3 linked regions of the Ovis aries genome follow. The protein of the gene in region 2 purifies or fractionates together with the protein of the main gene of each other region. This does not show direct contact. Links are inferred from orthologs where the notes say so. Each region holds a gene or a part of one and is shown on either strand. Other genes may lie near its edges. The genes, in order: ITGB1, CD151 and ITGA3.

What was found.
Region 1: the proteins of CD151 (region 2) and ITGB1 purify together in Homo sapiens (affinity purification with western blotting; 4 studies listed by BioGRID and IntAct, with this or other methods). This does not show direct contact. The link is inferred for Ovis aries from reciprocal best matches to the Homo sapiens genes CD151 and ITGB1.
Region 3: the proteins of CD151 (region 2) and ITGA3 purify together in Homo sapiens (co-immunoprecipitation; 4 studies listed by BioGRID and IntAct, with this or other methods). This does not show direct contact. The link is inferred for Ovis aries from reciprocal best matches to the Homo sapiens genes CD151 and ITGA3.

The regions. Positions count from the first base shown.
Region 1 is NC_056066.1:19,329,644-19,333,289, reverse strand, and holds part of ITGB1 (integrin beta-1), read right to left. Parts: intron 3,607-3,646; coding exon 3,384-3,606; intron 2,725-3,383; coding exon 2,492-2,724; intron 705-2,491; coding exon 538-704; intron 1-537.
Region 2 is NC_056074.1:46,921,576-46,925,694, forward strand, and holds the start of CD151 (CD151 antigen), read right to left. Parts: upstream 2,944-4,119; 5' UTR 2,851-2,943; intron 2,538-2,850; exon of another isoform or gene 2,264-2,537; intron 1,954-2,263; 5' UTR 1,853-1,953; intron 1,220-1,852; 5' UTR 1,085-1,219; coding exon 1,001-1,084; intron 905-1,000; coding exon 713-904; intron 331-712; coding exon 256-330; intron 1-255. UniProt on the Homo sapiens protein: Structural component of specialized membrane microdomains known as tetraspanin-enriched microdomains (TERMs), which act as platforms for receptor clustering and signaling.
Region 3 is NC_056064.1:36,313,815-36,317,460, forward strand, and holds part of ITGA3 (integrin alpha-3), read right to left. Parts: intron 3,638-3,646; coding exon 3,388-3,637; intron 1,854-3,387; coding exon 1,767-1,853; intron 1,399-1,766; coding exon 1,191-1,398; intron 733-1,190; coding exon 536-732; intron 1-535.

The sequences.
Region 1 (3,646 bases), on a different chromosome or scaffold from region 2:
AAATTGAATTACACAGCACGTAGTCTTTTGAGTGGCTGATTTCTACTTAGGGTTCTTTGTTAAATTAAAAAAAAAAAAAAGCAGCAGCTTTCCACTGAATAGTCTGAAATTATGTAGGGTTTTAATTTTTTTGGTCATGCCAAGTATGTGGGATCCAAGTTCCCCAACCAGGGATTGAACCCACACCCCTTGTGTTAGAAGTGAGTGTTAACTACTGCACCACCAGGGAAGTCCCCAGGATTCTATTTTATATAAGAAGAAAAGGCAGAAGAGCAGAGTTAAGATTAAAATTAATAAGAAAATAAAAATACCACAGTAACCTGAAGAAACATTCTTACAACTATTTTCTTTTAATGGGATGTATTTAAGATGTTTTCTGTTTTTCACTGAATGCAAGTTTCCTGAATAATAAATTCTGGGGGGCAACTGAAATATTTAAAGGACTTTAATAATCAGCTTTAGAGCTAATAAACAAGTCTTAGAAGCGTTACATTTACTTTATGAAACACCTTCCATTTTAGATGTTTTCCAACTTACCGTGTCCCATTTGGCATTCATTTTTTCCTTTTCAAATTTGGCAAATTCCCTTCTGTCATGAATGATCATTAAAAGCTTCCAAATCAGCAGCAATGCAAGGCCAATAAGAACAATCCCAGCAACCACACCTGCTACAATCGGAATAATGTCTGGGCCAGTGGGGCACTCTGTAAAGTAAAAAGCAAAGGATACGCACACAAGGGGGGTTAGCTTGTGAAGGTGCAGCCAGAACCACAGAGAGCTGTGCAGTCTCACAAAAGACACAGGAATAGAAACTCCAAGATAAGTGACGTATCTTGGGGCACACTATCCAAAAGAACCTATAAAAAAAGATACTAGAAGTAACAGATAAGTTTACAAGATCATAAGGTACATGATCAATAAATAAAAATCATGTATTTCTATGAATTATACCAAAACTGATTTCTATATATTAGAAACGGAACCTCAGAAAATAGTATTATCTACAATAGCACCAAAATCACAAAATACTTATGTATAAACCTAATAAAACATGTACAAGATTTATATGCTAAAAATTACTGAACACTGATTTTTAAAAAAGATCTGAATAAATGGAGAGATTTTATCTATGTTCATCAATTAGACAATTGATTAGACAATCCTCTCCCAATTTTATCTATAAACTCAATATTATCCCAATCAAAATCCTGGCAGGACATGTGTGGGATATCAAGCAAGCGAATTCTAAAATTTACAAAGAAGTAGGAGAACTAGGAAAGTGTCTCAAAAACACTTTCAGGAAAAAACAAAGCTGGACAATTTACATTACCAGATGTCACAAAACTAGCCGTGAAGCAACAGTAATTGAAAGAGTGTGTTATTAGCTAAGGGACAGATGCCTAAATTAATGGAACAGAATCAAAAGTCAGAAACAGGCCCACACACATAAGGTCATCTTATTTTCACCCAAAGTGGAGAAAAGTCAGCCTTTTCAAGCAATGGTACAAGAACTGCTGGAAATCTACCTACAAATAACTGGACCTCCACTCCAGATACTGAGAGCAGCCCAAAATACGTTATGGACCTAAACGCAAATCCAGAAACTAAAACTTTCAGAAGAAAACACAGGAGAAAAATACTTATGAAGTTGAGTTATGCAAAGAGTTCTAAGGTAGTAAGAAGCAAGATCTACAAAAGAAAAACTTGGTAAAATTTAAGCTTCTGGTCTTCAAAAAACAGTATTTGAAACACACATACCTGAAAATGCAAAATAATAACAGAGGCTTTAAAAAAGTTTGCCTGTTTCTTTTGAAGTTAAATATATGCCCTCTCCCCAATCCCTAACATTTATCCTAGAGAAATGAAAACTTACATTCCAATAATAACTTAATCACAAATGCAGAAAATTCCAAAGAATGTACTAAAAGTTCCCAGAAAAAAAAAAGATAAAAATGATTCCTCTCTTGAAAAGCAGAACAAATTCATGCCATATAATACCCTTTAACAATTATCTTTCCCAGCGTCCAAGCCTAAATCAAGCTGCTATTAAAAATATTATTAGTGATGATGCTACTGAGTACCTTCTACCAGGCACTGTGCTAAGGGCTTTATACGGGTTACTGCATTTACTCTTCAAACTCTCCATAACATAAAATTTGCTTTCTCTTTCCCTTATTTCTTATAGTTAATTAAATACTATTTTAAGTTTGAAGAGATTAAAATGTCCTAACTTGAATGCAAAGTAGTCATGTAAAGTAGCTGGAAGCTGTTCCTAAATGTGAGTGAGTCAAAGTCGCTTAGTCATGTCTGACTATTTGCAACTCCATGGAATGTCCATGGAATTCTCCAGGCCAGAATACTGGAGTGGGTAGCCTTTCCCTTCTCCAGGGGATCTTCCCAACCCAGGGATCAAGGGGAACTGCCAAAAGCTCTAACCAGCAGAAAGACATAAAAGAAAATGCAAAAAACTTTGAAATGATCAGATTTCTACCTGGAGTCTCTACAACATGAACAGTGGCCTCATTGTTCCCATTCACTGAGTATGTGAAGTAGAACCAGCAGTCGTCAACGTCCTTCTCCTTACAGTGGGACAAGGGATCCACCTGGCCTGGCTGGGGCAATTTGTCCCGATTTTCAACCTTGGTAATGTTGAAATGTGAACATTCCTGAGCACATGTGTCTTTCTTTTCTCCTTTATTGAAGGCTCGGCACTGAACACATTCTCTGTTAAAATGCAAATGATTATATTTATTATTTATAATAATATTTGCTCAAAGATTATTTTGTGTGCTAGACTCAAAATTTGACCAAATTTGGCCAAGAGAGATGAAAGAAGATATGAATAAATGAAGAAACATATGACATTTCTTGGTGGGAAAACTAAACATAAAAGATGCTAGCTTCCTAAGTGAAATTATAGATTTATTATAGCTCAAACTAAAATCCTCCAAAAGAAATAAGAGTAGTAAGCTAAAACTAGCCCAATCAGAAATGAAATATACAATATAAAGCCAAAATAACTTTTGAAATGTGTTGCTGATATTATGGTTCTTTCTGCTAGACAAAACCTTCCATTTTATTTAGTCAAAAGGCAGTAAATAGCAATTGGTAATACTAATTTAACAAAGGTTACCACATGGATTCAATTAAATACCAAATTCAGGTTGAAATAATGGTACCACCACACTCATAGGATACAATTCACTATCATGTGCCAACACTAGCGATTGAGAATTTTTAGATTTAAAAAGTGGGCTTCAAGGTGACAGATACTTTATTTACAGTGTGGCCTGGTGTCGGCACTGTTCTAGGTACCGTGCGATCACACACAGGCGAACAGACAGTGACCAATCACCTATTTCAAGCAACTGAGAAAGACTTACTTATGCTCAGCACAGACTCCAAGGCAGGTCTGACACATCTCACAGGTTGGCCCTTGGAACTTGGGGTCTGTACACTTGCAGGCCCCACACTCGCAGACGCCGCGGCCGTTGCAGATCTGTCCATTCACGGCCATGCAGGACGTGGTGTCCAGAGAACAGTCACAGGCGCTGCCGGTGTAGTTAGGGTTGCACTCACACACTCGACACTTGCAAACACCATTTCCTGCAATTAAAAATCTCATTTCTCACAACAGTGGTAACAA
Region 2 (4,119 bases):
CCCTCCACCTGTGGCCCCGCCTCCATCTCCAGGCTCAGCACCGCAGCCTGTATGTCTTGGTCCTTCCTAGCCTACATGCGTGTGTACCCTTACATGGCAGGTCTTCACGTGCGTGCCCTGCCTGTGCGTGTGGCCCAGTGCGTGGGTGTCCGTGTCCCTATGTGTATGTGTACGTCTCCTGCACGCTCATGTCCAGCTCACTGCACGTGTGTCCCTGCACGTCCACGTCCTCGGGTGGCCTGTCCCAGCCCTCACCTGCTGGTAGTAGACGTAGGCCAGGACCCCCGCAATGATCTCCAGCAGAAAGATGATAAGGAGCAGGCCGAAGTACTGGGGGGAGGAGCAGGGGCTCAGTCAGGTGGGCTGGGACACAGATGCCCCCATTCCATGAGGACGCCCAGCACCAGGCATGGCAGAGCAGAGCCACTGCCCTCAGCTGCCAAGTGGCCACACGATGGGGGCCCCCGGCAGCAGGTGAGGGCTGGAGGACCCCGGCCTCCCAGTGCTCCTCAGCCGTCTTCCCTCTGCTGGCCCAGCCGGGATACGGGGACCCACAGGTGGGCAGGGAGCCCCTCCCAGGTGAGCACAGCAGAGTCTGTCTGTCCTGCAGTCTCACCCATGTCTCCCTTCTAAGCCCTCCTAACCCAGAACCACCCCAGGCAGCCTGGCAGGGAGCCCCACCCCCACCCGCGGTGCGGCCAGCCCCGCTGACCAGACGCAGCAGGTTCCTCCGCTCCTTGAAGGTGGCACAGCAGCCCAGCGCCCCGGTCACCATGACGACAACGCCCGCCACCACCAGGATGTAGGCTGTGGCCAGGTAGGTGCCCGAGGCCAGCAGGCTGATGTAGTCGCTCTTGAGGGCCAGCGTCCAGATGCCCACGGCCATGACGGCCAGGCCAGCCAGCTGCGGGCAGTGCACACCGGTCACCACACCCGGCCCCGGGCCTGGACCCCTGGCCAGGCTCCTCCGAGGTCGGGGAAGGGGGTGCCCACTGCTCACCCAGAAGCAGCAGTTGAAGGTGAAGAGCAGGTACTTGAGGCAGACGGTGCCACATGCTGCCGACTTCTCCCCAAACTCACCCATCCTGGGGCCGGGAGGTGGGGGAGGGGCTGCCCGGGAGGACGGCCAAACGCCAGCGGGGAGAGGAGCGGGGGACACACGTCCAGACCAGGTTGGGGCCAAGCCAACCCCCTGCCTGGGTGAAGGTTCTGGGAGCGCCTGTGGGGGAGGGCTGCTCGGAAGCCCCCGCCACCACTGCGGCAAGGGCAGACATGGTGCCCACAGCCCAACTGGAGCCTGGGGGGCCCGGCTCCCCTGACCAGCGCCCAGGGCATGGCGGGGGAGGCATGGAGGACCCCCAGCCACCACCACGGGCTGACTCAGCCCTGCAGGCAGCTCAGGTGAGCTCACACAGGCCCCTCACCCCACCCCACCCCAAACATTCCCTGTGCCCCACGTCACAGGTTGGCAGGATCCTACCGGCTGCTGGGGGGGCAGGGGCGGCAGAAGCTGCTCAAAGGTAGACTGATCTGTGCTTTTCTAGCTTAGTCCTGTGGCCTTGGAGAAGGCCCTCAGGCCTCATAAAGGGCCGGCCTGCCTTCCTTCCAGCCAGAGCTGGCAGGCGCCACCCCCAGACCTGGGGGTCCCTCCTGAATGGGGATAGCCACGCTGACCCAGGGGGAAATGAAGCTCCAGCCTGTGCCCCTCCCCAGAGCCACCCCACCCTCTCGTTTCTGGGTGTCTGCATGAGCGGGGTGGGGACACAGAGGGCAGAGGAGCCCTGGGGCCCTGTTTCCAGACAGACAGGGTGCCTCCCGGAGCCGGACTCCTAGCTGCTGCCCTAGCACTCACCTGGCTGGTGGGAGGGCTCCTCTGTAGGGCAGGCAGGCAGAAGTTCCCACCTGAGGAGGCTTCACTAGAGGGCCAGGGACAGGCCACAGGTCAGGCTCAACCTGGATGGGCAGGATCCCACCATCCCTCCTTGTAGCTGACCCAGGTACTGGCCGCGAGCTGGCCTTCCAAAGCCCCGCCCCCCGCGCTCGGAGAAGGGAGCGGCCAGGCCCGGTGTTTTGGCCTCGGCTAGGGCGGGGCAGGGCAGAAGACATTTCTGGACAGTCCGATTCCGGGGGGAACCGCACGCCTCCTCCAAGCCCCCTAGTCTGAGCCTTGGCACCTGGCCTGTAACTGGCCCTTCCCCCACCAAGCGGCAGTAGCTGCTGCTGGGGAAGAAGAAACGGTGCAGAACGCCCCGCGCCGGCGGACCTGGGCCTGTCCTGGGGTCTGGGTCCGGGGAAGGCTGTTTCCAGGCACAGGCTCCACCCGCACGGCCCGCCCTCGGGCGAGAAAGGCTGAGGAGCCGGCCGCCTTTCCGGGAGTGCCCGGAGGAGGTGAGCCCCCAGGGAAGGGCCGGCCAGAAATAGTTCCCGCGGCCCTGGACGCTGCCGCCCCGCCCCCGGCTCCCGAAGCCCAGCCGGGCCTGTCAGCGGCCCACGCCCCAAGGTGGGGGGACTCCCAGCTCGGCTCCCGGCAGGCCGGTGAGGAATTCGCGCGTCACCGCGATGAAGTCACCGCCGCCGCCACCCCCACGCCCTGGCGGGGCGCGCGGCCCGCCCACTGGCACCGGCGGAGAGGAGGGCACCGGTGTTCGCGCAGTGCGTGGGGTGCTCGGGAGGAGCCCCCGGCTCGAGGGGGCCGCAAGGACCGTCCGGAGACCAGGGAGGCACCTTGCCCTCGCCCGGCGGACCCTCGGCCCGCCGGGCCTCCGGGCACTCGTCTACCCCCGGTGGGAGCCTGCGGGGTCGCCGGGCGCGCAGCTTCTCCCGGTCGTCGGTGCCCGGCGGTGCACTCACCGGCCACGCGTCGGAGTCCGGCGGGCGGCGGGGGCGGCGGCGGCGGCTCGGAGGGCACAGAAGACACAGCCGGCCCGGGCCTGCGAGCGAGACGCGCGGGGCCGCCCCGGGCCCCGCCCCGAGCCCGCAGGCCCCGCCCCGGCCGGCGACGCAGGCGGGTCCCGACGGCGCTCGGCGCGCGCGGGCGGGGCACCAGCCCCGGCGGCCGCCTGGGGGCCACGCGAGGAGGCCGAGGCCAGGCGGGCTGCGGCCCGAGGGCGCCCGCTCGGGACGAGCGGCGGGGCGGGGCTGCGGGGGTCCCCGGGACAGACGCGGGCCGGCCCGGGGGACGGCCTAGAGGCGCGGTCAGGGGCAGAGAGGGGCCTCTCTGGGCGCCCTGCGGAGGACGGCTTGCAGGGGAGGCTCGGGTCACGGCGTGAGAGGGTCCAGACAGGAGGGTGTCGCCTGGGAGTGGTGGGAAAAGGTTCGGGAACGAGGGCAGAGGCTGCGACCGGCTGCGCTGGGGAGCTAGAGCCGAGCGCCCGACGGCTCGAGGCGGCGCCGTCGGTGGGGACAGCTCTCCCGGGACGGTGGGCCGCCCTCGTCCCCTGCTCCCTGCCCGAGGCTCGGGCTGGCAGGGCAGAGGGCACTGGCGACAGCTCAGGCCCACCCCTGGTGCCTCCACTCAGGACTCCAGTGGGCTGAACTAGCCCCCCCAGGGCTGTGTGAGGACTGGCATGGGGAGGGGTGGAGGCTGGGGGCGGTCAGGGAAGCCCGCCCACCGCTTCCTGGCCTACTGGCCTCAGTGCCTTGGTCCCTACAACTCTGGCGGACGGCTTGTGGACATGTCCAGTGGACACACAAGGGCGAGGGACGCCTGGTCCAAATGCTACGGCTCCCACACGCCAAGGAGGATGAAGTCAGTGAACTTTATTCAGAGGAAGGGGTTTTCCGGTAGTTTCGATGCGCTGGGCATAGAATGAGGACCGCAGCGAGAGACATGAGTCCCTGACCCCCCAGGTTAGTTCCTTCATGTCTGCAAGTCAGGCAGGCCGGGCAGCTCACTGGGGAGAGCCCACATCCTGGATAGGCAGCCCCCGGCGACGCCGAGTCGCCTTCAAGGGGCGGCTTCTCTGAGCAGCCAGGTGAGGCCCAGTGAGTCACTCGGGCTAGTCAGCGGCCACTGGGCAGGTGGCCGGAGCCGCGTCTGGGGGGGCGAGCCCAGCTACTGCAACAGCAGCAGCAGGGGGCGCCCAGCAGGGGGGCGGAGCTCAGAGCCTTCCTGCGGCC
Region 3 (3,646 bases), on a different chromosome or scaffold from region 2:
ACATCAACATGAATCAGCCATAGGTAATACTATATTCTTGATTTTAATATCCCTAGCCTTGCTACCCACCTCCATCCAGCCCACATCTCCCTCCAAAATCATCTCTCAGGGTACCAAGCTATCATGTCACACCTCTGCCCTCAAATCTTTTCCGACACCCCTCTACCATAACCCAAGCATAAAGCCCTAGCTTTGCTGCCTGGCTTTCAGTGTGTCCACCCCACCCCCACCCCACTTCTCCAGCCACATCTCTGATGTGAACACCTCATACCCACTATACATCAGCCAAATGTACCACACTCACATTTTGCCCCTTCTGTTCCCACCATTGTGTACACTCAGCCTGGCCTTTGATGCCCAGTGGTATGTCCACTGTTCCAGGAGGTCTACTGAGCTCACCCCTGGGGGCTCCGTCTGCACTGCTGTGAGCTCCCCAGACTTGGGCCCGAGTCTGTCTCCTTTTTGGGCCCTATCAAGCCTGGTATGCAGCTGGCTCTCAGTCAGTGGATGCTGGGGCGGGAGTGCTGGCTCGTACCCTGGAATCCGTCTTGGTTGATGTCGCCAATGCTTGCCACAGAGAAGCCGAAGGCGGAGCGACTGGGGCCGTGAAGAAGGAGGGAGGGGCGGTCTGGGAAGGAGGTGCCTGCCTGGTTCATGAAGATATAAATCGCACCCCCTACTTCCTCTTTCCGCTCAAAGTAGTAGGGGGCACCCACCAGGAGGTCCTGCCACCTGCAAAGGAAAGAAGGAGGGGGAGATGGAACATGCAGCATAACTGTTATTTAGCAGACACAACTGCGCCAGGCAGGGCACACAACTCTACAAGTGATGCCTCTGGCCACAGGTTGTGGGAAGGACTTGGAAGTGTCAATGTGACCAATCTGATAGAAAACACAGGTTCGGGAAAAGCCATGTACACACAGATCACACCCAAACAGCTCATATCCACTAGGGCCATATGAATGACAGGCACAGACAGTGAGATGCAGGCATTATGAAATTGACATGCAAACACCCCGAATCCCATAAAGTCTGATTGCAAATCAACATGCAAAACTGATGTGTAAATCCCTGCAAACAGCATGCAAAAAGACGCACAGTTGCAAACCTCTATTTCTCTGCCCTCACTCGTGCAAGCCCACCCCCTCATCATTCTCCCTGGCCCCAGAGAAATGTCCCTGGATCCTCACCCATCATTGTTCAGGTCTGCCAGGGCAATGGCACTGCCAAAATAGGCTCCCACCTGCGTGCCCTCCAGCACCTGCCTCCGCCGCAAGTCTCCACCTGCTTCCTGGCTCAGCAAAAAGACAGCGCCCACATGTTGGTGCCGCGGGGCACCTGTCACAATGGTGATGTTTGTGGGGTGCAGGATGGCACTGCCCACCTGCATCGTGTAGCCTGGGATGGGGGGAAGGTGGTCAATTGAGACTCCAGTAAGCTTGGTCCCCTTGTACTCTGGTCATCTCCCAGGATCCCCCATTATCTTCTATTCCTCTATTCTAAGTTGGGCAAGAAAGTGGACCTTGGATGCCCAGCCCCAAGTCCTGACTGTACCCTGACCATGAACTCCATGAGGGTCATGACTCTGCCTCTGGGTGGAGTATACAGCTGGTGCTCAGTAAGTGTGTGCTAGCTGAACTGAATGCTACTGGTCTCAGGGCAGCCTGGCCTCTCTACTCCCAGACACTGAAGCAGAGAGGACCAGTGTGCCAGGGACTGAGCCCCCTTTCTCCTCCCCACCAAAAGGCCACTACCACTGGACTCACCAATATAGAGGTTTCCTTGGTCCTCTGGGTCCTTGTAACTATATTCAGACAAATCCCAGTCCTTCCGCTGAATCATGTAGCTGTTTCCTTCATAAAGATTTCAGGAAGGGGGTATAAGCCACCACTCCTTTTCTCCACTATGTCCAGCCCCCACTCCAGACAAGGATAACAATAACCTCTTTTATCTGTGAGTACTTTGCCATTTGAAAATCACTTACTCTTTATTTTAACAATTCTGAGCTAGCATGATGACCCCCATTTTGCAGATGAGAAAAGTGAGGCTCAGGGATGGAGGCTCAGGGATGGAGGCTCAGGGATGTCCAGTCATGGCTGGAATCCAGTCATCTGGGTACCAGCATACTATCAACAGATGACGTTTCCCCCACCCTAGACAAGGAAGCCAGACTCACACCATTATCTCCTCCTAATCCTGTCCCCAGGCTACCTGCTTTCCCCTGCCCCCAGGCTGCTGCTGGAGAGTCCCTTGGCCCTGCCAAGGAGTGGGAAGAAAGACTAGCAAAGTGAGCAGAGGCCTCAGCCTCAGGTGAGCCCAGAGCTGTGACTATGCCCTGGGCAATCTGTTGGTCAAGAGGACAAAATAAATAAATCATTGGGATGTAACATACCACATAAAAAATATAGTCAATAATAATGTAATCACTTTGAAGGGTGACAGATGGTTTCTTGGCTTCTAGGGGTGATCATTTTACAATGTACTTAAATACTGATCACTGTGTTATACACCTGAAACTAACATAGTATTGTACATCAACTATACTGCAATTAAAAAAAAAAAAAAGATTCTGGGCTCCCTCTGCTTGTTGATTCTGCAATAGTAGGTGCAGTAAGGGAAAAGAGGTCACTGTTGCTATAGCCTGTGGTGGAGAGAGGCAGGTGGAGGGTGTGTGAGCCATCAGATGCCCGAAAGGCAGTATGTGGTGTGGCAGAATCAAAGCATGGGTTTTGATACAAGAAAATACTCTGCAGCACTCTCAAAAGATTGCCTTGTATGTACTGACGTGAAAACATGTCTGAAATTTATTGATACATGAAGAGGAAGTAGCAGAACAATACATTTAAAATGATTTTCTGTGTGGGTATGTGTGTTTCTTAAGATACCTATATATTCTAAAACAGGTCTGGAAGGACCCACGAGACACTTAGCAGTACACACTGGGAAATGGGACGAGGGAGATGTGGGAGATGGGCGCTCTTCCTGTTTAATTGACTGTACCATTTAGTAGTTGTACCAGGAATGTGTTTTATTTTTTAATAAGTTTTTAAATGGTAACCTGGCATCAGATGGACCTACATTCCAATACACATTTCAGGACTTACTACTGGCCTTGGGGCTCAGTTTATTTGACTTTATTTTACTTCTCCAAGGCTCAGTTTTCTGTAAAATGGGTATAATAATACTTGCATTTTAAGATTAATTAAGATAATAGGTGTACCTCTGGTACCTAGAAAGTGCTTTAAAATATCAGAGGTCGAGGTGGTTGCTGATGTTGGCAAGGGCGTGCTCTCCTCTGCCCTCTTGTGTGGAAGCTCTGGCAGACTGCTTCAGGGCCTAACAAGGGTAGTGGTCTCTGCTCTTCTTCCCTTCCCCCACGGTCCCTACCTTTCCAGTTGTAGGCACCAGGAGCCCCAAAGTACACAGTGTTTTGGGTGAAGCCACCGCTGGTGCCCAGCTGGCACATGCCCGTCTCCAGGTAGTCAGTGTTGCTGTTGCACATCTCGTTGTGGTAGGTCTGCCAGTCATCCCTGGCGTCCAGCTCCAGGTCGTTGCCTCTCACATAGCACTTGCCCACCATGCGCCGCTGGTCCTCTGACCCCGACCACAGCACCTGGGTGTAGCGGTGGGCACAGACCTGGGGGAC